Linked DNA regions of Daphnia pulex. The main gene of each other region encodes a partner of the protein of the gene in region 5 in a complex. Links are inferred from orthologs where the notes say so. Each region holds a gene or a part of one and is shown on either strand. Other genes may lie near its edges. The genes, in order: PCI domain-containing protein 2-like, nuclear pore complex protein Nup107-like, nuclear pore complex protein Nup98-Nup96-like, nuclear pore complex protein Nup214-like, nuclear pore complex protein Nup153-like and E3 SUMO-protein ligase RanBP2-like.

What was found.
Region 1: nuclear pore complex protein Nup153-like (region 5) and PCI domain-containing protein 2-like share a complex: the UniProt entries of both Drosophila melanogaster proteins name them as parts of the nuclear pore complex. The link is inferred for Daphnia pulex from reciprocal best matches to the Drosophila melanogaster genes Nup153 and PCID2.
Region 2: nuclear pore complex protein Nup153-like (region 5) and nuclear pore complex protein Nup107-like share a complex: the UniProt entries of both Drosophila melanogaster proteins name them as parts of the nuclear pore complex. The link is inferred for Daphnia pulex from reciprocal best matches to the Drosophila melanogaster genes Nup153 and Nup107.
Region 3: nuclear pore complex protein Nup153-like (region 5) and nuclear pore complex protein Nup98-Nup96-like share a complex: the UniProt entries of both Drosophila melanogaster proteins name them as parts of the nuclear pore complex. The link is inferred for Daphnia pulex from reciprocal best matches to the Drosophila melanogaster genes Nup153 and Nup98-96.
Region 4: nuclear pore complex protein Nup153-like (region 5) and nuclear pore complex protein Nup214-like share a complex: the UniProt entries of both Drosophila melanogaster proteins name them as parts of the nuclear pore complex. The link is inferred for Daphnia pulex from reciprocal best matches to the Drosophila melanogaster genes Nup153 and Nup214.
Region 6: nuclear pore complex protein Nup153-like (region 5) and E3 SUMO-protein ligase RanBP2-like share a complex: the UniProt entries of both Drosophila melanogaster proteins name them as parts of the nuclear pore complex. The link is inferred for Daphnia pulex from reciprocal best matches to the Drosophila melanogaster genes Nup153 and Nup358.

The regions. Positions count from the first base shown.
Region 1 is NC_060025.1:7,985,721-7,989,557, forward strand, and holds PCI domain-containing protein 2-like, read left to right. Parts: upstream 1-1,331; 5' UTR 1,332-1,505; coding exon 1,506-1,541; intron 1,542-1,616; coding exon 1,617-1,658; intron 1,659-1,736; coding exon 1,737-1,858; intron 1,859-1,920; coding exon 1,921-2,187; intron 2,188-2,252; coding exon 2,253-2,470; intron 2,471-2,532; coding exon 2,533-2,633; intron 2,634-2,714; coding exon 2,715-2,914; intron 2,915-2,982; coding exon 2,983-3,080; intron 3,081-3,144; coding exon 3,145-3,260; 3' UTR 3,261-3,337; downstream 3,338-3,837. Other genes in the region: b(0,+)-type amino acid transporter 1-like, read right to left, coding at 181-317, 380-425; threonine synthase-like 2, read right to left, coding at 3,512-3,713, 3,795-3,837. UniProt on the Drosophila melanogaster protein: Required for the export of nuclear mRNAs and involved in mRNA trafficking in the cytoplasm.
Region 2 is NC_060019.1:10,133,856-10,138,117, reverse strand, and holds the start of nuclear pore complex protein Nup107-like, read left to right. Parts: upstream 1-1,462; coding exon 1,463-2,242; intron 2,243-2,301; coding exon 2,302-2,647; intron 2,648-2,706; coding exon 2,707-3,058; intron 3,059-3,117; coding exon 3,118-3,586; intron 3,587-3,651; coding exon 3,652-4,262. Other genes in the region: protein BCCIP homolog, read right to left, coding at 1-123, 185-356, 415-578, 653-751, 812-1,096. UniProt on the Drosophila melanogaster protein: Plays a role in nuclear pore complex (NPC) assembly and maintenance. Required for nuclear import of Mad. Mediates the association between the nuclear pore complex and a subset of active chromatin regions adjacent to lamin-associated domains.
Region 3 is NC_060021.1:8,259,801-8,263,769, reverse strand, and holds the start of nuclear pore complex protein Nup98-Nup96-like, read right to left. Parts: upstream 2,801-3,969; 5' UTR 2,644-2,800; exon of another isoform or gene 2,631-2,643; intron 2,540-2,630; 5' UTR 2,499-2,539; coding exon 2,447-2,498; intron 2,309-2,446; coding exon 2,066-2,308; intron 1,956-2,065; coding exon 1,561-1,955; intron 1,496-1,560; coding exon 1,252-1,495; intron 1,198-1,251; coding exon 902-1,197; intron 819-901; coding exon 602-818; intron 529-601; coding exon 100-528; intron 34-99; coding exon 1-33. Other genes in the region: condensin-2 complex subunit H2-like, read left to right, coding at 3,252-3,574, 3,644-3,969. UniProt on the Drosophila melanogaster protein: Part of the nuclear pore complex (NPC). Required for MAD import as part of the Nup107-160 complex and required for nuclear export of Moe probably via its association with Rae1. Plays a role in nuclear mRNA export.
Region 4 is NC_060027.1:5,448,498-5,452,427, reverse strand, and holds the start of nuclear pore complex protein Nup214-like, read left to right. Parts: upstream 1-1,130; 5' UTR 1,131-1,282; coding exon 1,283-1,315; intron 1,316-1,380; coding exon 1,381-1,719; intron 1,720-1,776; coding exon 1,777-1,967; intron 1,968-2,025; coding exon 2,026-2,334; intron 2,335-2,390; coding exon 2,391-3,594; intron 3,595-3,660; coding exon 3,661-3,788; intron 3,789-3,842; coding exon 3,843-3,930. UniProt on the Drosophila melanogaster protein: Part of the nuclear pore complex. Serves as a docking site in the receptor-mediated import of substrates across the nuclear pore complex including emb, RanGAP and phosphorylated Mad. Protects mbo/Nup88 from proteasomal degradation at the nuclear pore.
Region 5 is NC_060021.1:252,442-256,412, reverse strand, and holds the start of nuclear pore complex protein Nup153-like, read left to right. Parts: upstream 1-1,171; 5' UTR 1,172-1,453; coding exon 1,454-1,525; intron 1,526-1,591; coding exon 1,592-1,835; intron 1,836-1,906; coding exon 1,907-2,002; intron 2,003-2,064; coding exon 2,065-2,352; intron 2,353-2,436; coding exon 2,437-2,582; intron 2,583-2,644; coding exon 2,645-2,996; intron 2,997-3,056; coding exon 3,057-3,971. Other genes in the region: double-stranded RNA-binding protein Staufen homolog, read left to right, coding at 1-66, 131-217, 278-376, 459-560. UniProt on the Drosophila melanogaster protein: Component of the nuclear pore complex (NPC), a complex required for the trafficking across the nuclear envelope. Functions as a scaffolding element in the nuclear phase of the NPC.
Region 6 is NC_060024.1:12,886,088-12,890,221, forward strand, and holds the start of E3 SUMO-protein ligase RanBP2-like, read left to right. Parts: upstream 1-1,334; 5' UTR 1,335-1,498; coding exon 1,499-1,570; intron 1,571-1,813; coding exon 1,814-3,680; intron 3,681-3,757; coding exon 3,758-4,134. Other genes in the region: uncharacterized protein LOC124199486, read left to right, coding at 1-669. UniProt on the Drosophila melanogaster protein: E3 SUMO-protein ligase. Component of the nuclear pore complex (NPC), a complex required for trafficking across the nuclear envelope.

The DNA.
Region 1 (3,837 bases), on a different chromosome or scaffold from region 5:
AATATTTAGATAATAAATAGCATCTTTTAGGGTCTTTTTGGATGTAACCAATGAGACGAAACGTTGTTTCTTTTATCTGTTTACATGCGTCTGTCACCACTCGGGTGCATGCTGTACTATGATTATTTGCCACTGAGATAACTTTATTATACTTGTTAAAACAGAACAAAGGAAACTTACCCGTCGATTCATTTGCAGTTCATCTTTAATGTTTGACACGGCATCGGTTAAGCTACTGTCATTAATACTGTTGGTCGAACTACTATGTCCATGATCGTCTTTTGATAAAGATTCTGTACGATTTTTATTCGTATCGTCTGAATGTCACAAAGAAAAATGTACATGTCATTGAAAAATGTGTTAAAGAAAATGTATTTACCTTGAGATGAGCGTTGTCGAATTGAATCACTTTCGGGAATAGTCATGTTGGAGCAATACGGAAATTATCCAGCCGAAAATCTAGAAGGGAAATATTTAAATTGGACCTTTGAAAATCCGTGTGCGAACGTATGGAAACGAAGTTTCCCTCCTACTATTTGCACACGTGATGCACTATATTTAATTGACTGTCAAAATAGGGCCACTGGGGCTCGTTGTCGACTAAAAGCGAATGATACAAAAGAAAAACTAGTAGTCAGGGGAGGCCGAAATAAGAATAGATCGGAAGTAGAAAAAGAGGGGGGAGAGAATGGAAACACGAGTGGTTCGGTCCACTCTTAAAGTAGAGCTGATTATTATTGACCATTCGCTGCTGATGCTGCTGTATCTTTTTTTACAGGGTTTAGCGTAAACCCGCCTATATACACACACACTGCAGTGTGTGTGGACTGCCCGCTGAGCGGCTAATCTATGTACTCAAGAGTTTTAAGCCATTTTGACATGTTTGTTCACTCTCTCTCTTCATACTTCTTAGTGAGGTATGAAATCATCTTAGACTGGCGCCACGCTTTTTAATTAGTCTGTCCAGGAGGTAGTTGATCCTTGTTTTTTTTTTTTTTACTTGGAACTCCTCTGTGCAATTTATATGTTATTGGAATCCCGACTCAATGTTTTATACATTTATACAGTACAGTCCTGCGTCAATTGTTTTGTTGGATTAAATCACATGCATTATCTCAGTTGTTGGATATGCATGATATGGAACCAGTTCTTTCTCAACTCATTCTATTTATGTTTATGTTGCGGCATGTTCAGTCGTAAAATAATATAATTCTTATTTTACTTTGTGGTTTTTCCTCCCTTTCGAGATCGAAAAACTTTGATAACAAGCGCGGCGTAAAATTTGAAATTGTAAATATGTAATTCAACTTGTTACCGCTAGATGACGTAAGAGTTTCTAGCAGACGAAGAGCTGAGGAACAATTCGAAAGCGACCGGTCGGCGTGATTATTGAAATTTTCTGTCAAATAATATCCAATTGTGTTTCGCCAAAATTAGATTTCTGTAAGCCACCGATGTCCAGTTTTAAGTTAGTCTCGAAAAATCATTTCTAAGACACTAAAAAAATGGCTAACTTGAATTTGAATCAATATTTACGTGAGGTAACACAGCGCGTCACAAACAGAATGCATTGTTTACACATCTTTAGTTGATTGTTTTTATTTAAACTATTTTAGATTCAATCTTCATGGCAATCTCGAAGTGGAACTGAAGTTTCAGTAAGAAATTCAAAATTAAATTTCTTGTAAAATCATGCTCATGCAATACTTCACGTCTTCTTATTTTGAAACCTTTAGGAACTCCTGTCATTCAATCACCCACATGTTATGAGCTCCAAACTTATTTTGGAGGGATTTGAAAAGTCTGTTGAAAGAATCGTGGAAGCTCCTTTTGATGAGATTGTTGTCCTTCATCTCAGGTATACAGTTGAACTTTCATCAATTTTAAATTTTGGTTTCAACTTTCAATTTTACCATCTAGATGCTTAAGCTATATCAACCAGCAAAAGTATTTAGAAGCATACTCTGAGCAAAGTGCTTTGGTACAGGCGTTTACAAAGCTCTTTCAGACACAGAAGGAAGACAACTGGGCTTTATTCATCATGTATGTCATAAGTTTAGATTTGCGTATGTTTGCAATCAAAGCAGACAAAGAATTGGCCAAAAAAGGAGCAGACAAACCAGGACAAACACTTGAAAAGGCTGCAGAGTGCCTCATGGGACTTTTTAGAGTGTGTGCTGCTGACAAGTAAGAAATAACATTTTGCGACTTATGTAGTAACTAGGTACTCATTCTTTTGTTTGAATTTACAGTCGGTCATCTGATGAAGATACAAAACGCTGGGGAATGCTGTATTTGGTCAACCAGCTGTTGAAAATCTACTTTAGAATAAACAAATTGCATCTTTGTAAGGCTCTTATTCGCGCAATTGATGCCTCCCAGTTCAAGGACCAGTTCTCCCTCAGCCAACAAGTGACTTACCGATACTATGTCGGCAGAAAGGCCATTTTCGAAAGTGATTTCAAAAGCGGTGAGCAGAGTAACATAAATTTCTAAAAGATAATCAATTCTTATATTTAATTTCGCATTTAGCTGAGAAATATTTATCCTACGCGTTTGAGCGGTGTCACAAGAACTGCCGCGCCAACAAACGACTGATTTTAATCTACCTGATTCCCGTCAAAATGCTTTTGGTATGACTTTCATTTGTTGTGTACACATAATGCGATGGAAAACGGAAGGAAGATGCTTAACGTATTACATTTCATTTAAAGGGTCATCTTCCTACAACCCAATTGCTGAGAAAGTATGACCTTCTACAGTTTAGCGAAGTGGTGCAAGCTGTTAGGGAGGGTAATCTCCGGAGACTCAACAATGCCCTTCTTCAACACGATGCCTTTTTCATTCGCTGCGGTGTTTATTTGATTCTTGAAAAGTTAAAAGTCACCACCTACAGAAACTTGTTTAAGAAAGTGTAAGGGATTTTATTGTTGGTGTTGAAAGATGAGCCGACATGATTTCTTTTGAATTTATAATTTTCAGAACTTTGCTCATGAAAACTCATCAAATCCCGATCGAAGCCTATCTTGAGGCCTTAAAATTCATGGGAGTTGAAGACATAGACTTGGACGAGACGCAATGTATAGTGTTACATAAATTAATGTGGCTTTTATAGAATTTGATCCATTTCTTTTTATAACGCAGGTATCATTGCAAACCTCATCTTTGAGAACAAAATCAAAGGGTACATTTCCAACAGCCACAACAAGCTGGTAATCAGCAAGCAGAATGCGTTCCCATCGCTGGCTGCTATCGTATAAGTTGGATCTAATATCTCTTACACACACCTGTTTTCGCGACTAATTGAAACAAAATAATAAATTTCTTATTGAACGAATTGTTTCTTGCTTCCTATTTTTGTATTAAGTAATAGTTTTAGCTGTTTTCTTGTTTCAAAGTCTTACATATTTGTGTTAGGTTTCACCTGACTACGCTATTCTACACCAAAACTGAGTGAATCTCAGGTAAATATTCAAATTTGTTTGTGACGATATTCAACGGTTTTTTCCCCCTAAATCTTAAGGATGATATCTTTTAATTGACTTGTCCAATCGTGGCCCTTTAGGAAGACGTGTCGGGGTGTACAAATTTCGGTATCCATTTTTAATCTCTCCACTCTATGGTGTGTCGACTTGTCCAATCCTGCCGCTTCACAGGCCTCGGGGAATTTCGCCGGTGATGCCGTAGCTAGACAAACGAATACCTGTTTTCCCCTACAAACCAATAAAGGTGACCGGAAGAAACTCATTAAACCGGATCAAGTACATGGGGAGAGAACAAAAATAAATACTCACCTCTGATCTACGTTGAAACAGTAGGAGACTGCCGTTGCAGTGT
Region 2 (4,262 bases), on a different chromosome or scaffold from region 5:
CTTTGCGGTAATAAGGACTATCCTTCTTTTCGGATCGAATTGTTCGTCATCTTCGTCCCATGTCCCGGAAACTGCTGCATCTGACTCGCTTCGTACAGAATATTCTCCTAATATTTCACCCATCTATTTGACGAAATTTTATTACAACCTACTCTACTTAGGCGTGGAATTAATAGATGAATACCTCTGAAATTGGTTCTTCTTCTGCATTAACCCATAATATGGTGGCTCCTCCTTTGACTTTTTTTTTCCTTGATTCAGGATCTTTTCTTGTAGATTCATGAAGTTTGGAAATTAAAATGAAGTGTGTAAAGTCAAAAGGCTTTCCAGATTTTTTTGCTTCATCAATCTCCTTACTATTAACAAAATTTTACATTTAAACTTGGGATATAATTCAAATTAAGTCTTGTATACCATAGATTTTCCAGTAGGGGAACAGAAACTTGAGGTGGTATGTTTATGAACCTTTCATTGAATATAAGTCCTATCTGGTTAGATGGATCATCAAACAATCCACTCAGTTTCTTCTGTGTTTTTTCCAACAGGTACTTTTTTACTTCTTTAATACATTCCACATCCTAGGAAAAGTAAATAACAAAAAAAATTGGGTTAATTGTAATTTGTGTAACACAAATTCAAAATTTTATCTCACCTTGTGATGTGTCAAGTTAATTACAGAAGTAATTCCAAAAACTTCATCAAGAGAATTTCCTTCATCATCACTATCAGGTTCATCATTATCCACACATTGCTGAAGAAGTAGATATCTTTAGTAAAGTACACAAATTACATCTTCACAAGATTTTATTACCTGTAATATACTTCCAATGTAGTTTTGCTGAATGATGAGTTCCGTCAGACCACTTAAATTAATATGAGCCTTTAGGAAAAGCTGATGCATTAGACTCTTGATACCGTGAAAATCTTCAGCGATTGGTGATTGACCTTCAAAGTCGACTTGAATCTCTCGGTCGTTCTCTCCAAGTTGCTCATCTTCACCCATTTCTTCATCTTGAGAATCATTTTCTTCTTCTTCTTCCTCTGAAGAATCGCTGCTATCTTCTTCCATAGGCCGTTTAGTATTGAAATTCGCCATGATTTTTAAAGACAATTTTTCACACGTGTCAAAAAGTCAAAAACAAACTTAAGTTTGTCTGCTAGGAAGGGGTAGGAAGGAAGTGAAGTGAACATTCAAATTGTTTGAAATAAAATCTTAAAAATTGAGTTAAAAAATAGAATAAAATTGTATTAAATATTATAACAATTATAAAAATCAAATCATTACTATTTCAATTTCAATTAATTATAATTATTTTAATGAATAAAACTTTGAACGTGAATTGCAACGCCCTTTTACTTAGTCTGCTACGTTACAATAAAACGAAAAACGGAAAACTTCAAACCTTCAAACTTCTTCTTTATAAGACAGTGAATTTTATTGTATCTTTTTAAAATAAGCACAATGGAGTTTCAATCTCCAATTATTGCCGGTTCTAACTCAACTGTTACTGGCAAACTAAATCTTCCTGGTCGAAGAATAAAGCACTCACTCGAAAAGACATCAGACATGTTGGGGGCCAGTTGCCTCCCTTCTCCTAACCGACATAATACAATGTCTTTTATGTCTGATGATCTTAGCCACACTATTTTCGAAAGTGATCCTACATTTACGAGAATTGGTGCTGGTTTACAAAGGAAAAATCTGGATTCGACAAGAGCAGACTTAACAGTGAGCAATGTATCACGAAAGAAACGAAATGAAGAACTCATGAGCATCCTTCTAGAAGAAGAAGTTCCAGGAGTAGAAAATGTCTTAGAACTATTTGAGAGATTCCTCAAAACATTTCAGTCATATGGGGCAGAACATCAAGTGTTTAATCAGTGTGCAGAATATGAGTCAGAATGTGGAGAACAAGTATCTGCTTTGCGAAAATTGATTCAAATGGCCCCTCGTGGACACAACAAACTATCACAAGCACAAGAATTGGAGCAAGAACTGAGACTTGAGCGTGACACATGGAGATTGGTTGCATCTCTCTACCAAGATCGTTTAAACTCTGAATTTCATGACAGTGAAATGGAGTCTGATGAAATCTGGAGTGGATTGGATGATGTTACAAGTGAAGATGACTTGGTAAAACAACTCTATGACAAAAATGCCATAATCAGACAGGCTCAGCTCGTAGTCGATTGGCTGGAACAACGAGCGGCTGATGTCTATCACGATTCCCATTACAGCCAGGTATTTTTTAATGTAATTAAAATTTTCTTTTATTAAATAATATATTATACTCTAATTAGGTGGAGTTTTACGGAGATGCGGTTGCCGGCTGGGAAAATACTCTTCATTCTTTGGTCAGTAAAAAACGAGGGCTTAGTACAGATAACGTCGAGCAAAATATGGTTACTCAAATGGATCCCGATGCTCCTAACCGAGAACAAAACAGACGTCTTCACCCACTTGACAAAGAAGATGAAATGCGTTTGCTTCGTTCTGTATTTGCTCGACTCCGTTGTGGACAGCTGGATGAAGCCCAGCAGCTCTGTTTCCGAGCAGGTCAACCATTTCGGGCTGCAATTTTGGAAGGATGGAAACTGTTTCATGATCCCAACATGAAATCTCGCACGGATGTAGCCAACACGAAAGGTAATTTCCAGATTTGTAGAAACCAATGGATTCGATAAAAATATTTATCTCAACTGTAGAGTCGCCATCTGGAAATCCTTATCGTGACATATGGAAGACGATGACTTGGAAAGAGTGCGAAAATGTGCAGTTGTCGGAGGAAGAGCGCGCAATCTTTGCTCTTCTTTGTGGACATTTGAAAGCCCTTTTACCTGCCTGTCGTTCCTGGGAAGATCAACTGTGGGCTCATCTGCGTGCCATGATCGACCACTGTGTCGAGAAGGAACTTCGTCGCTGTGTCAATTATAAACGGCAACTTCAAATTCTACCAGACGAATATTGGAATCAACAGTTGACCGTCGAGTCCATTTTCTCAACTTTAGCTGCCTCCAGAGATAAGACTTTGATCGCCCAAGGCCGTGACCAATATAGGTGACTAATTCTTTAATTTGTCTAATGCGAAATTTACCAAAGCAAATTTTGAAATGCAGGATCATACAGCGCTACCTTATTATGGATGATGTTGACGGATTACTTGAAGAAATGTCGTCTTGGCTGAAACAAGGTGACAGCTGGAGCGTTCACCTACGCCCTCACATGATCCGGCTAATGTCCCATCTTGCTCTGTTCTTCCGGCGCATCGGTCGTGGCTCATGTGACGATTCCATCGGATCCATCCTGGAAGCTTACGTTCTACAACTTGTCAATCTTGGACGAACTGATTTGGCGGCTGTCTATGTTGGACAATTGCCTTTGCCAGAAGATCAAATTCGCCTGTATGCTCAATGCCTCGTTATGGTAGAGGAACAGGAAGAATCCTGTGACGACGAGGAGCGAAGGCGCCTCCTATCTTTGGCCCAGGATGTCGGACTTGATGTCAACGCTATCGCCAAACAAGTTGTAATCAAACTTTGCGACCAGGGCGGAATGGTCCAACACGTCACTGATGCTTCTCTACAGGTGATTAATATAGATTTCGATCTGCATTCGTGCATAGCGTACTCATAATTGTTTAATACTTTTAGGTAGCGACCACGGCAGAAGATGAACGCCGGATACGTTCACTGAGCTGGTTGTTAATGGATCCGTCAATGCGAAGTCAATTGCTTATCCAAGCCAACACTCTCATGCGGGGATACCTTCTCCGTCGTCAGATTGAAGCTGTGAAGCTGACGTTCCAGTTGACTCCACCCGACACAGTCGCCATATTGACCGAACTATGGGAATCACGAACTGGATTGACGGATTTGCCCACTGAAGTCGAGGCTGCTGTCCGTGAATACCTTTGCATCCAGACTTACATTGATGCACTAGACGCCTTTCAAGAATGGTTCACACGTTTCCATCACTCCAAGCCCAAGAAAACAGAAGCTACCGTTCAACAACAGCGAGGAGGAGCCAGTTCTCAACTATCATTCACTGAAAACTTACTCAAAGAACAGCATCTTAAGCAACATCAAGTTGAAATTCAACGCTGGCAGGCAGCCGTCGATTCCCTCACGCAATCAGCTATTGACAAACTGTATAACGTCCTACTTTTTCCTGACGGAGGCTGGATGGTTGATAGCATGTCCTTCGAGGAGGAAAATTCTCCCCGACAACAGCAACAACAGTTGTTGCGACAAACTTGCATCCC
Region 3 (3,969 bases), about 8.0 Mb from region 5:
GGGCGCTTGATTTGATCAATTCTTCTGTTTTTCCTGAAAACGCAATGAAACAATTAATGAATGAAATGCGTTCAACTGTGTTCATTCGAAGTGGCTTACCTGACGGTTCCAGCATTTTCCGGAAGAGAGGATGATCACTAGACTGAGAAATCTCACTTAGCGTCAAGATATACTGATGAATAGGCAACTGGGAACTGCTAGTTCCAGTAGTAGGCTGCGTCGTTCCGAAAGACATTGAAGTTGAGGGTGCTCCAATACTTGTGTTCCCAAAGAGTGAACCGGGAGCGCCAGTACCCATCCCACCAGTAGCTGTTCCAAAGCTAGGTGTAGTGCCAAAGCCAGAACTTCCAAAGGGAGTACCGCCAAATGGACTGGGCTTTGCATTTGCAGCCGATGCCCCGCCGAACATTGTATTTTGACCGAATCCTAGAGTCGACGGAGTTGATGTCACCGCACCAAATGTTTGCCCGGCTGGTTTGACTCCAAAAGCCGTTTGTCCAGGTGTGAACAACCCAGTTCCAGTAGTACCTATAAAAAATACAGTCGAAATTTTTTTTGGTGCAAACACAAACAAACAACAAAAACAATTTCCTGATCTAACCTGATGTACCAAATCCACCGAACGCTGGCGTCGTTGTTTGAGCGGGAGTAGTTCCAAATGCAGGGGTAGGTGTCGCTCCAAAACCAGTTATTGGTTTCGCACCGAAGATGTTGGATCCAGCGGACTGAGTGGTTGTCGTTTGAGGAAAACCAAAACCTGCTGTTGAAGTCTGAACTCCCATTGCTGGCTTTGGAGTGTTGAAAAAGCTTTGACTGGTCTGCAATAATCAGAAATAAAAAGAAAACGATAAGTAGGAAACAATCTCAAATAAAAAGGAATAAATAAAAATATTATCATTACCTGTTGTGGGGCACCAAATCCAAATGCGGGAGCGGGTGTTTGTGTCCCGAAAGCAGGAGTGGGTTGGCTCGTAGATTGGGGACCGAAAATCGATGAGCCAAAAGGTTTATTTTGTTGTTGCTGACCGAAGAGACTGGGTTGCTGCTGTTGTTGCTGTTGAGGTGCAGGCGTCCCGAAACCAAATGATGATTGAGTGGAAGTAGCAGGTTGACCAAACCCCATGGGTTTTGCTCCAAAGGCCGAAGGTTGAGCTTGTTGCTGTTGAGGCTGTCCAAATAAGCTCGGCTGTCCCATAGCTAAATACATACGAATTATCTCTTTTGTTCATCATACACAAGAAAAATACTTACTGGGTGCTGGTGTTCCGAAAAGGGGCGTCTGTTGAGTTTGTCCAAATAACGGAGTTGATTGGGTAGTCGTAGTGGTCCCACCAAATAATCCTCCAGTTTGTGGTGCGGTTCCCGGGGTCGGTCCTTTCCGTCCTACAGAGTAGTCTTCAAATCTAAGTTCTTCCAAAGATTTATTGTCATATTCTTTCATGCATGTTATACACTGATGGTGTGTGTTTATTGTCGTTTGGACATTGTTTTTCATCTAAAGACCACAAAATGAAAATTATAATTCATAGAGAAAAATATGTGTATGAATAAATATTATACCATAGAGTCTGTCCCTGTTAGAGGACTGAATTTTACTGGGGTACCAGTAATGGCTCCACCAGTACCACCAAATCCCCCAATTGTGTTACCAAAAGATGATGTCCCAAACAAACCAGTACCCGTTGACGGCGTTGCTTGTGCTGTGGGCTGTCCAAAAAGTGAGGTGGTTTGAGTGGGCTGGGATTGGGGTTGTCCAAACAAGCTACTGGAGGTACTAGTTGCTCCAAAGCCAAATGTAGGTTTAGCTTGAGCTCCAAATCCTGTATTGGTGGCTGCTCCAAACATGCCAGTTGTACCAGTTGAAGGGGCAGTTTGTTGGGTATTAGATCCAAACATACCAGTTGAAGCAGCAGGGGCTCCAAATAAGCTCCCCCCTGAAGTCCCACCACCAAATCCTTTTGTTACAAAACCAACAACATGATTAAGTGCTCTTTGATTGCAAATTAATGAAGTTCATCAAAGATATCTACTGTTTGATGAAATGTAACTATAAAACATAAAATACCTCCAAAGCCAGTATTAGTTGCAGGTGCTCCAAATCCTGCTGTAGGTTGTGCTGCTCCAAAAGTGGCAGTAGGTGTACCAAACAAACCTCCCGAGGGTTGGCTTGTTGTAGTACCTGTGCTTCCAAACATCGAGGTATTTGATCCAAAACCTGTAGATTGGAAAGTTGGTGCAGCCGTTCCAGTTGGCTTTGCCCCAAACGAAGACTGCCCAAATCCTGTTGATGTATTTGTACCGAAACCGCCTAAATGCAACAAACAATGGAGGGCAAACAAAAAATGTTGAAATTTAAATGGTGACGTAATGACAAGATAAGATACATTTGTAAACATGAAATATGCTTATGCAATGGTAAAGAATAATAATTGTCTGGATGCATTACCAAAAGTATTTGATGTTGGGGCTCCAAAAGTGGGTCTATTTTGTCCAAACATTTTTAAAGATGTATCATTGAAGAAGCCGGCACACTCCGCAGCTAAGTAAAAAAGAAAATGTCAAAAATGTCTCCCAATATTTATGGAGTACGAAATGCAACACCACAGAAGTCTTAATCTCGGAGAACTCACAATTTGAACTTACAATGGCTAGCGGTCGTCACACAAGTTTTTAGAACACAACAGTAATCTCAGCACGCGGGAGTCGTATGAACTTGCTGACAATTCAATGAAACGTTGAAAAGGCAAGACGGTGCTCATACGAATTACGAAAGGCAAAAAGCAGTTGCGGCGCACAAGAATGAGAATAGAAAGAAGGCCGTTTGACTGCGTCTTCCAGCGGTTAGTATTCATTAACTTGCATTTAGCAATTCAATATGTTTACACTATGATGACACGAAATTTAAGAGGTGTAAAATATTTTAATTAGAATTTGATTGTTGCAAAATTAAAGAGTTTTGGTTAGTTTTCGCAAAAATCTAAACACTGAGAGTCATTATAGGTGGCGCTACGTACATGGCCACCAAAGTTTGACCCTTGATTTAGTTGCATAGTGGGCCTTGTACTTCAGAACTAAACGCAACACTTACGTTTACTCCAAAATTCAATTTTTGAATTGTTGTGTTTTCTTGTTTGTTCAGGCAAAGTGGCTGACAGTTTATTTTTCAATATGAAAAATGTTCTTCTTTTTCTGAAATAGTTAAAGATTCGAGATATTTTTTGTTGTAATAAGTTTCGCAGTCGTGTTAAACAATGGGCCCTGGTCTTGCGAATTCGAGTGGGAGTTCTGTTGAAGAAGATGATGTTTTCAGTTCTCAATTTGCTGCTCTTCTTAAGCCAATTCGAGAGCTTACTAAACAAGGATGTTGGGAGCTGAATATAGCTGATAAATTGGAGGAATATGTCCAGTATATTCAAGATTTGCGGATTGAAGTTAATGTAAACGGGGAGCAAATGAAGCTAGATTTTGCTAAGGCTGCTATGGTTGTACAGAATAGTGCACAAATCTATAGCAAGAAAGTTGAGCAGCTCTGGCTTCTTCTCCAAGAAGTGATTGAGTTTTTAAGTTCGAATGGGTAACTAAAATCATGTACTGTACAATGTTTTACTTTCTAATAAAACACATTTCTCTCTACTCTCTATAGGAATGGTAATGAAAATGATGAAAATCAAACACCTGGCTCCAAGATAAGAAGAAATCACCGAAAAAAACATCACAAAGGAGATGTAGATCTTATCACAGAACCAATTCCACTGAAGTTTAGAAAGTTTGGCTCAAAATTAAAGAGAAAAGCTACAGCCAAAGACACAAAAAAGATCCAAACTTTACCGTATGAAATCTTGCAACTAGAAGAAGTTATAGGAAGCTTAAATTCTGTTAAAATTAAACTCTACACACTTTCAAACGAGCATTTGGGTTACCCCTCTGATCTAAGATCTAATTTCCCCTTTGACCCTTACACTTTGTTTT
Region 4 (3,930 bases), on a different chromosome or scaffold from region 5:
ACTCAAGCAGGTGCTTGCCAAACTAAAACTTGGTAAATAGGAATTCTGGTCTTCGATAGAAGGCGTGGGTTCAAATCCCACTTCTGACAATCATTATTACAAGGAAATATTTTTGGATGGCACGACGGAGAAACAAGCTGCATACAAACCAGCTTCCTACCCTAGCCCAGCCTATCCTTTCGTACTCCTCATACAAACCTCTGCATACAAGCCCGCATCCATATCTCCGGCTTATCCGAACTACCAAGTAAATATCATATCCTGGCTTCTTGCTATAATTGATACAAATAAAGAAATAAAAGTTTTAAATAAACGATTAGTCAGAGTTTACTAGCAGTAATCTTTTTTCTCCCTGCGTCGCTTAAAAATGAATTTATGCGCTACGGCCGTATGGCGTCGCTGTGTCGCTGTTTCTGAATCTGATCAAATTAAACCAATAATTGTTTATTTGAATAGAAAATTTAAAAAAAAATAATTCCATCTTTTGCGGACTGATAAAGAAAAGGGATCGAGATGAATGAACTACACACAGGTTGGGATGAGGAAGTGAGTCGGATCTAAAGTTTGTCCTAGTTGGATATTCTTTGTCTAATTATGCTAGACTAAGGTTACATGAATTATCATCCAATTGAATCTCTTGAAAAATAATAATGTCCAATCGAGCCAGATTTGAGCAGACCGACCAGAATGTGTAGCCTAATAGATAAGGTGCCAGTTTATCTTACTTATAGATGTTAAGTTATTTAGAAGTTAAGTTAAGTTAATTTTGTTTGTTAATTAGTTCAAAGAGAGACTATTTGCCGTATAAAGAGACCGTGCACCACGATCAGATTTATCGTATATTATATAGTCCCTATTTGTAAATTTATTCCTCGAATATGATTCGTTTGATCGAATGTTTATTGTTTAATCGTTTTGAACAGGGTTTTCAATGAACCAAGTTGATGAAAATATTGTATCTTGCAATTTGGTTGACGTATCACGTAAGCCTTCCCTTTTGAATATCTTAACTCCACTATAGCCCCAAAAGTGATCAGAATTGGAAACACTACCCCTCAGCCCCTACCCTTTCAAAAAAAAGAACCGCGAGTTATTACAATTTAAAAAAATTCAAATTGCTTTGATAGATGGCGTTCACTTGTCACAAGCAGACAGGCAGTGAGGCACTCAAACAGTTAGACATTTCATAAAATTTCGACCGGCTTTGGCTTTGCAACAAAATAAGGTTGAAAGTGCGGTGTGATTTTCTATCCGAATATTACATTGATTATTGAAACTGATAATGGCAAACGTTCCTGATCCTGTTGAAGTCTTGGTAATTTTAAAATACATTTTTTTATTGTTTTCTTTCAATTCAACCAATCTAACTTGTAACAACAGGACTTCAAAATGAAACAGCTGTGTAAGTTTAGAGTCACTAAAAAGGAATATGATGTACAGGACACCACATCATTGCTGGCTACTTCTAATTTGTTTGGTCTGATCTTTGTTGGGACACCTGACAAACTTGTTGTCATCAAAGTTTCAGATCTTATACAAATTGACAATACAACATCAAAAAAATCAGAAATATCATCATTTCCCATCAAGGAAATTCTTTTACCCAACAAACCTAGTTTTGTAACACTGAGCTCTGATAATCTTACCTTAATGGTGTGCCTTCAAAAATCTGGATGCTCAGTAGGTTGGATGTATGATGTTCGTGGATTTGCAAGACAGGTATGATTTAAGGAATTTCATTTTGTGTGATTGAAACAGATTTAAAATCTTTTTCAGTCAGGTGAATGGAATCCCTTCCAGGAAGTCAGGCTTTCGTCTACTGATGGAGTTACTGTGAAAGATTGTGCGTGGAACCCTGTTATACCAACTCTAGTAGCTGTCTGTCTTAGTGATGGCTCTTTAGTTGCAGTGGAGATCAACAACACTCAATTCACTATAAATAGCCTTCCATCAAGTACAGGAGCCCAGTATGTGAATATCCTATTTTGTATGTATGTTATTTTCTTAATTTTATTGAATTATTAGGTCAGTCTGTTGGAGTCCCAAAGGAAAACAGCTAGTTGTGGCCAGGCCTAGTAAACTAGTTCAGTATAAGCCTGATTTAAAGGAAGCCAAGACTATAGCGTTTAGTGGTAGCGATGTCCATATGACTCAGCCAATGGTTTGTGGACTTCAGTGGCTTTCTACAACTCAGTTCCTTGTAACGTTTGTTGATCAAAATGAACCCAATTCTCGTCCCCACCTCTACATAGTCAACGTACAAAAATCGGGGGCAACAACTTTCATAGATTATGACGATGTTTGCTACGGAAGTCCGTCTGAAAGACCACACAGGTATACGAATTTTTTTCATTTTATTATCAATATAATGAATTTTGTTTCTTTTTTAGTTATCTAACATTGAGTTTATCCCCATGGAATGTGTTATTGGCTTGTTCAGCTAACGCAATAGAAGTTGCCGTACTAGCTCAAACAGGAGCTGGAGATGCTGATCACCCTGAATGGAGGCAATGGGCACTAGAAGGTGAATGGCGAGCTGAACTACCATTAAATGAGAATGCTGAGACTAACCCGTTGGGAATGGCCATCGATACCACTAGCCAAATTCCAATCAGTTGGGATGACAATCAAACTTTACCGCCCGCACCCATTCTTTTCATACTCAGCACTCATGGTCTGCTTTGCCCGTTTCATGTTATCAATCTAAAGAACGGTGCTGCCAAATTCAATCAGGCTCCTCAAGAATTGTCGGTCACTGGTGAGAGACCAGCGCTTAGTGGAATTGGTCTCAAGGCGGCTCCATTAGCAGCTTCCACTCCATTACCTGCTGCTGGTAAAATTGCATTTCCTAGAACAAATCTTGGAGAACGATTTGCTGCATTTGCGGATGCTCCTTCCTTAGCAGTCCCAGTTACAACGAAATTACCTTCAAATCCGCCTATTTCGGACTCGTTTTTGGGCAACAAACCCCAACTTCAACCTGCCTTACCTTCAGTGACGAAAGTTGCAACTGCACCTGTTGTACCAGCTGTGAAGATAGAAGCGGTTCCGGTTGTCCCGAAAGCTACTCCACTTACTGTCAAACTTACAAGTCAAACTCCAATCGCAGATGAATCTAACATCCATTCATCCATGGGCGCTGCCGCTGCAATATTACGTGACGAAGTGGCCAAATTCGTTCAAGACTTGAAGGAATTCAAAGCTCGTTCGTTGACTTTGAAAGTTACGATCGCGAGTGATGAGGAGAAAGAACGATTGTTAAAGATGACATCCGATCTGGCTGAGTTTGGTGTGGATCTGGTCGATACTACCAAAGTGCAAGACGAAGAAGTTCGAGGCTTGTGCACTGATTTGGTAGAAGTTGCCGCCCTTTTGGAAGATGCCCGTGTTCGACGTGCTCGTCGCAAAAATTCTCATTTCTGTCATTTGCTCAAGTTACGGCCTCTAGATCCAGGCAATCGCAGAAAAATGGACGGCATTGAGCGCTTGCACGTTCACATAGAACAGCAGCTTATAGAAGCTTCACGAAGCCTAGATTCGATTAGCAGAGACCGTACTAGAGACACCCGCAAAATTGAAATCCCAATAACTCAGGTAAGCTTGTTTTATTATTATTATTACTCTAAAATATTCAGCATCCTATGATTTATTTCATCTCAGGTTATTTATGAAGCAATTAGAAACAATACGAAAGTAATATCACAGTTAAAATCTCGTGTTGAACGAATTATGGTTCAGAGCAAAGAACAGCAACTGAAACTCGCCGGTGCAGCCTTCGAAGCTTTAAGGTATTTGCCATTCATAAATTCACTTAATTATTGAATTAATTGTGTGTTCTGTAGACCAAAGAGTGGTGATGAGTCAAGAAAATGGGAGTCTGAACTGGCTGTTCTGGCTGATTCTCTTTTGTCGTCAAGTATAAGAGGAGAA
Region 5 (3,971 bases):
TTCATAACCGATTCATCGAATGCCACTGGAATTAAAGAAACTACTCAATCGTCTCGTCCGCCCAAGGCATGTTTTTCTTATGCCTCTGCCAACACTTCTTAAAATCATATATTTATTACTTAATCTTTAGACTTCTGGAGGGTTGCGCCCGGAAATACGTCTAAGGTACTTGGCCCAAGTACTGGAATACGAGGTCGAGTTTTCCGATTTTCCAAAGGTAATAAACATTTTAAAAACTAATTTTAATTTACTGTTGGAATTAATGTAATATTATTAGGGCAAGAAAGGAGATTTCGTTAGCCTTGTGACCTTGAATACAAATCCTCCGCAAGTGTCGCACGGACTTGGTGCCACTTTGGAAGAAGCCCATGATAACGTAATCATAACTTGACTATATTTTGGCAATCAGCTTAAGTTAATTATTTAATTGATGTTCTTTTTGTTAATTCTTTGCACAGGCTGCTTCCAATATGATGAAATTGCTTTCTGAAGGGTCTCAAGATGACACCGTTGGTCCCAACAAAGAAAACGCAGATCAACGAAGCACAGGACCCCAATAATTTTGTTTTTCCTATAATGCCCTGTTTGATATGTTGAGATTTGAAATGAGATTGTCTCATATCTATTTAATTTAGTTTTTGTGTCATTTAACTTAATATTCAAGCACGCTATCACGATTTTTCTTTTGTTATTCATTTGTGGGTTTGCAGTCAAAACTATTTTTCTTTGTCTTTCACTCTTTTTTTCCCCCTTCTACATTGTACACGGTTCAGCTTTTTATTTCATTATTTTTCATTTAACGGTTATTTGTATTTATTTTCAAATAAAATCAGGAGCTTATCTCTTGCTGACTCTTTATCATGTGTGGAAGAAAAAAAAAGAATTTTGAAAATGAATAATCTGTACCGTTGACTAAAAGAACGAAAATCAGAAAAAAATGGGTGCAAGTTCTAAGATTATGCAATCATACTGATCATACTTTTACGTAATACTGCACTACTGCATTAAAGAACTTGCGTTTTTTTTTACATGGCGCAGCGTGATACCTATATTTGCAGCACACATTACTAGTGGCTGTTTTATGTAACAGCGCTAGCCAAAATGAAAATTAATTTCATGCATGGGGGGAGGGGGTTACCGCATGCGAATTAGGCAATTTCTTTTAGTTCGATCGGTTGATTCATCGAGAATGGTCGAGAAGGGTTCCGCTGGAGCCAAACTATAGCCCGTCACAAACGCCCTCTACTGATAAATTTATAAGTTCTTTGAGCAACATCGTTCTTCATTTGTTTCTCGTAACCGCCAATCAGATCTTTCTAAACTTAAAAAAAATCCGCCATCTTTTCTCGGCACTTTTTTCCTCGCCGCGTGTGGGTCGTGGTGCGACGGGTTAAAGCTGTTTTCTTGCAACAGTATCTGATTTCCGTATTGATTGATAATTTCTAAAACAGTCATGTGGGAAGATAATTTAGGTAAAGTCAAGGCAAGGCGGAGCAAAAATTCAAAACCATACGAAAGGCCCAAGGTAAGACTAAAATACGTTTGTGTGAGTTTGTGAAACCCCAACTATATCCGGCTTTTTGTCTATCAGTCGATTTTGAGGCGAGTAACAGATTCAGTTACTGGATTGTTACCACAACCTTCTTGGCTGGTGAATTGGTTACAATCTACATCAGCTAAAAAAGAAGATAGTGAAAATGATGAAGTTGAGGAAGAACAACCTGTGCCGTCAACCAGTTCATCCAGCAATGGTAACAGCTCCCACCGAGAAGGTGTTGAAAGAGAGTCCTTCATATTTCGCAGACCACCTGGGACATCCAAAGAACAAAGCAACAGTAAGTTTTTTTCATCAATGTTCTGCTCCCTTCAAACTGTGTAACACATGCTTCTTTTTTTGTTTGACTTGCAGTAAGAGCTCGTCCAAATGTCCCTTCTTTGGACTTACTTCCAGAGCCAGTAGTGGTTGAATCAAGTTCAAGAGAACAAATCGTTCAAACAAATGGTTTGTATTAAACACTGATTTTCAAACTTTTATGACATCTCACATCTCATTTCCTCTGACAGGTGATGATGACTCCAACTCAGAGTCAACTAGCGGATGTTCCTCATTGTTACCACATCTCGAGCATAAGAGGGAGAGCAGAAATATAGAACTATCAAGTTTGGGAGTTGCTGAACCTCTCTCTATTAATCAATCTTCACTGCAAATCATTGGAAGCTCTTTGAGCAAGTCCCTAGCAGTTGACCTAAAAAATAGCCGTGGACGCAAAACTCTCAGCCTTCATACTTTTGGTCATGATACAAGTTCAGGTATAACTCCCACAGAAGAATCAAGGTTCCACAAGGATACAGGTAGATTTCTAATGACATTTTCATCATTTTGTAGTCAAGAATTTTGCTTACAAATGAGTCTAATGTATTGTTTTTGATTTGTAGAAGAGGCTAGTGGCTCATTTTTCGACAAAGACGACACTTCACTCAATCGTTCAGCTGCCAAGCGAGACCTTTCCCAACCTCAACTTTCATCGTATGGAAGCAAGAGACCACGCTTCAATATAACTTCATTTGGACCTACGGCTGCTGTAAGTCTTGAATTTAATTTACTAACAAAGTCTGGACTCTATTCTTTTATTACTTCCAACAGGAGGCTAGGCGGTCTTTAATGAACGAGAGTGTTGTAGACTCACCATTTTATGCTGGTAAGACGACTTACGGTGGTGCTTCAGCTTATCGCCGTGCCACTTTACAACCTTCAGCTGCACTATTCCCATACGTGCGAAGTCGAATTCAGGCTAGGCCTGCGTCTTCAGCTCCATCCACTTCGAGTTCTGTTGCTTCTACCAGTTCGTCAAATGTTGTACTTAGTAGTTCAGCGCAACGAATCCTTCAAGCACTCGAAGCCATGTCAACACCAGTGAGAGATGCAAAAAGGATTCCTGCTGCATCCAACAGTAAACGATCCACTTCTTTACAAGGCGAAGAACTTTCGTTCACTGGTAAATTGATAAAAGTTATGAATTGCTTAACGTTATAATAATTTCGCTTTGTGTTTAAAGGGTTTGGTTTGAGTCGCCGACGTCCAAATTTGGGACCTCCAACTTCCAAATTATCTGTCGGTACTCCGGCACAGATTGTCACCCGACCAGCTCCAGCAAACTTGTCTCAAATAGAACCAGCACTAGTATCGAGCACCCCCATCAGTGCCCAGGTTGGTGGCAAGATGCGAATGAGGATGTCAGCACCACTTCGCAAATCGGCTCCTCGTATTCGAGAGGATGAAGATGTAGAGTCGGAGGAGCTCACTGCTGTGCCAATGCCCATTAGTATAGCAGGTCTACCTAGTTTCAACTTGCTACCTCCTTGCTCGGTGGTAGAAAAAGCAACTGTTGTATCGACGAAGACTTCAGTGAAAACAGCAGCAGTAATGAGTTCCAATGGATTGGTTAGTTCTTCAATGACGAGTACCTCAACACCTCGTCCAGCTTTCACGTTTTCAGCACCGTTGGTTACCGTCAGTCCGTACAAGGTAGATGCAGCCGTCAGTTCGAAGCCGCTCAGTTTCAACTTCAGCTCCCCATTGCTCGTCAACGCTTCTCCGAAAAAAACACCAGAGAAGGAGACTCCAACTAAACCCGCAGAAGTGGAATTGAAATCTGGAAGTGTCCTTGATGTTCTCAGAGGGAAAAGTCAAGAAGCTGTGCCCGTTTTGGAGCCAGTTATTAAGTCACCACCGGTTCTTTCAGGATTTGGAGATAAATTCAAGGCACCTACCGATTCTTGGACATGTTCTGTCTGTTGCGTTCCCAATTCCAAGGACAAATCTTCGTGTGTGGCATGCGAATCTCCAGCCCCCAATGCAGTAAAAGCAATGCCTATTGCTCCTGCTGCTGCTGCTGCTCCTGTTGCGCCTCCAACAAAAGGATTCGGTGATCAATTTAAAATGACCGCCGCTCAATGGGAATGTTCTGTGT
Region 6 (4,134 bases), on a different chromosome or scaffold from region 5:
GATTATTTGGAAGAAAAGGAAGCTTTAGTAGCTCGCCAAACGACGCCAATCAGCGACGAGGATTGGAATATCATCGAGGCTATCCACGAGTTGCTTCTAGCTTCCGTTTCTTCTCTTGAATGTCGCCGGATCCTTGCCAAATACAAGTACTGGAACAGTTTAGCTCAAACTTGGCATCCGGTTTATCTTAAAAGGATCATCAACCGTCAGCAGCACGGGGCTCTGACATCGCTAATTCGTCTTCGAGCTCGCCTTCTCTCCGCTCTGACAGTCTTCCCGGAACCGTCTCTGCCGGATTTGATGGATAGCAGAGTTGCCCAAACCCTTGTGGACGTGGTATCACATCCTTACGGCGCCGACAAGCACGCCCTATCCATTTTACGTAACATGGCTTTCCACAACATTTACAAAAGCCCTTTGTTATCGGCCAGTAACGTTCTTCCTCTCTTTGTGCGCCTTTTAACGGGCAATGCAGCCAATGTCGATATTGCTTCGTCTACAATGGCCGTCACTGCCCTGATCTCTTTGGCGTCCAACAACCAACGCGTTAAAAGCGACATTCGTTCGATGACGGAAGCCTGGTTCCAGCGTAATCCCTTGCTCATTAAGAAAGACCCGACTAAATTTCAAAGTTTATGCCTTAATTTGCAGAAATTAATCGATGTGTGAATTGTTTTTTATTGTGGATGTGCATATTTTGTTAAGTTAGAATTACACTTCATTGTCGTTTATTCGTAAATTTTATTATTTTCAACGAAAAAATATCAAGTGAAAACGAATTCTATAGGCCCACTATATGAAGATAAAAGATTGTGATTCCTTGCCAATTCACTGATTACTTGGCACTAAGAGAAAAAAATTTCTCACTCATTGGTGAAGGCGAATTATCTGGCACGTTTCCAAAGGCCTGATCAATAACTAGTTGAAGGGATACGTCTGGTTATATTTTTAAGGTTCGGGAACGAGACACAAGTTGAGAAATCAAATATTTACGGCTAGACTCCAAGCCATTCCGATTAGCGGACCATGTTATCAATGCATTTAGCTTTAGGACCTTAATATTATTCGACATCCTTTATCTCTATTTATATCTGATGTAGCTAGCTTGGTTTTATTGGTACTGATTGTATAATTGCACTAGTCTTTTACGCAAAATGAATCACTATTTTTTTCCAAGATTTCAGAGCGAGTTTTTTTGTCATTGTCATCGAATGAGTGAGTCATTGTCGAAAACAAAATCGCGCGCAAATGCTTTTGTACATATTTAAAGCAATCTGGCAATAGAAAAGAATTTGAATAAATTCGGAGGGAACAGGGCTCGATTGACTTAATGGCGACTTGGCAACAGCGACGATCCTACCACACGAGGGAAACTAGAGAGTTTATTGCGCCACCACTAGCTCCTCCATATTCAATCGGAAATCCAGTAAATTGTCAAGTGGCCGATTTAGTAATTCGAGTTGTGTGATGATCGAAGCGATAATTTTTTAAAAGAAAAATGCTTCGAACCAAGAAAGACGTAGACAAACATGTTCAAGATCTACAGAAGAAAGTGAACAACGAAAATGAGGTGAGCATCAACGTTTCTTAACTCAGGTTGATTTTCACGAAGTTAGAGAAGCCGGTTTAAAATTTAGTCGATAACAGTTTCGTGTTGACCTTTGAGTATTGCGGTATTGAATTTCCAGATACTTATTTCGTCTCTGACTGTCTATGTTGCACACTGTGTCAATATTTTAGTATAGTTTATCAAAATAATTGCTTGTGCCTACAAATGATGTGTAATGAAAACTTTTTTATATTTTTCTTACAGCGAAAACTCCTTGGCTTCAACTTTGCCAAGTCTTATCATCAAATTGGAGAACACAAGATAGCCAAACAATATCTAGCTTCATATCTTGCAATTAAGGAGTGTTCAGCTCCAGGCCATCGCCTGGCTGGCCAAATTGCAGAGTCTTTAGGTGAAAAAGAGGCAGCTGTCAGATCATACAAAAGATCTTTTGATATTGATAGCAGTCAACGAGATTTGGTTTTCAAGATCTGCAGTTTGGTTTGTGAGTTACCCACCAGCCCAGCCAACAGAGATCTTCAGCAATGCTGGTTGGAGAGAGCTGAAGCATTGCAGCCTCAGCACAGTGTAGTGTTTGAGCTGAGACAGAGGCTAATGCTGTCATCAAATTCCCAAGTAAAAGGAGCAGTGGAAGATCAACTGAAAAATGAAATGCTCAGCAAACCAGGTGACATGAAGCTTCGTATCCACCTTTTAAAGTTGTATCTTGATTCAAACAGAGTCAAGGAAGCTTATGAACATATGCTCAAGATTGAATCCCTTCAAGTATTTAGTCAAGAGCTAGACTGGTACAATTGTGCTCTGAATGTCCTTGAATCCTACAAGAAGCTTTTGGACCACAAAGTGGGGCCTGATTTCTACTTCCACTACTTGAATGCTGTAGACCGACTATCGTTTCTTAAGATTTCTAGAGTTGGTAAAGGCCTTAAATCAGCCCAATCTATCGGTGAGGTACTACCGACCTTGCAATCACTGGACGTCACTTTACAACTAGCGAAAGAAAACGGCGTTCAGCGAGATATTCTGGTACACTTTACGTGTCAGTTGTACTTTCAAGCTGGTTTAGTCGTTCTTCTGAAAGCTCTAGCCGGCCTCGAAGATGAGTACCAAGCCCTGAGCTATGCTGCTACTCTCTTCACCATCGCTTACAACCAGGGTACAACTGGAACCCCCAATCAGTTTGGCGACAAAAAACTTCTAGATTCAACCATTGTGACTGCCAGATACCGTCAGAGTCAATGTGGCCATTGCATCGTCGCCTGGGAAAGCAGAGAAGGTCGTAAATGGGTGGTGGACACTGTCAAGAGGTGTGACAATCCTGACGGACGACGCAAGATGTTTGAAACCGTCTTCGGTGGCGCCTCAACGCGCCCTTATTTCGGAGAAAAATTTCAATTTCCCAAGGAACAACTGGAATTACCTTCTTTTGCTGATTTGCTTGAACTTGATAAAACCGCCCTCCAGCTCTATTCTAACGAATTACATCCAGTGGTCTGGTTGGGCTTAAGATACTTTACCATGCATCGCAGACTGAATGAAACTGACTTTGCATCAGATCTCAGTCAGATCTTGACATCTTCACGCTTCATGCGCGATATCCCATTCTCTTCAGCGTCCTGGAATTCCTGCGCACCTGAGACTCTTTCTGCGCTAGACATGGAGTCATTCGTGTATGCTTCAATTTACAGCACCGTCTCCTTGGAGGAAAACGATTCGAAGGTGTTTGGAACGGTGCCTGCTGCATTGACAAAATCGCTGTGCACAGACCAGCAGTCGGCCTGGTGGCAATCTGCCATCAAACTTATCTCGGGATCGGCTAAAGAAAATTTAAGTGAGCTGCGCCGTACTCTGCAACGAGGTTTGGAGGTCATCCGTCTGTCTGGAAACCAACATGGGATTCCACTGGAACTCGTGGCCAAGCTCGCTCGAACATTTGTGGCCAGGGCTGGGAAAAGCCGCGTGTTCCCTGCCGTTGACGTACCTGCACCTATCTCCACAGATGTGATGACAGTTGAACAAACAGAGGCCCTTGAAAGTCAGGCGACTCGTTATTGGAAAATCTTTCTTGAAATGGCTAATACAGGAAATAGATACACTCCCCCTTTATCTGGTAAGTAATCTATAAAAATCATTGTCTAATCTCTAAACGCAAGTAGCTTTATCAATGTATCAAATCTCTCGCACTAGGACGACTATTCGAGTTTCGCTCAGTAGATGCTGATATTGACGGCCTAATATCAGAGGCGAAACTTTTCTCTGGATACCAGTTGTGGCGTTCTGGTCGACGTGAAGAAGCACTTCGTCTTCTACAGGCGATCTCTGATCCGTACGCTTCATATTACCAAGGGCTCCTCTTCAAAGAGATTGCGGAAGAAGAGTTACGCAAGGGAGCAACCGTGTACGAATCAAGATCAGCAGCCAATGTACTGTTGAACAAATCAAGAGACGCGTTCTACATCACACTGGATCGCCTTCGTAGTCCTGGAATGGAGCGTTTCCATCCACTAGATCAAAAACTTTCAGAAGTCATTGAAAAGGTCGAGACTAAGTTAGGCAGTCTAACC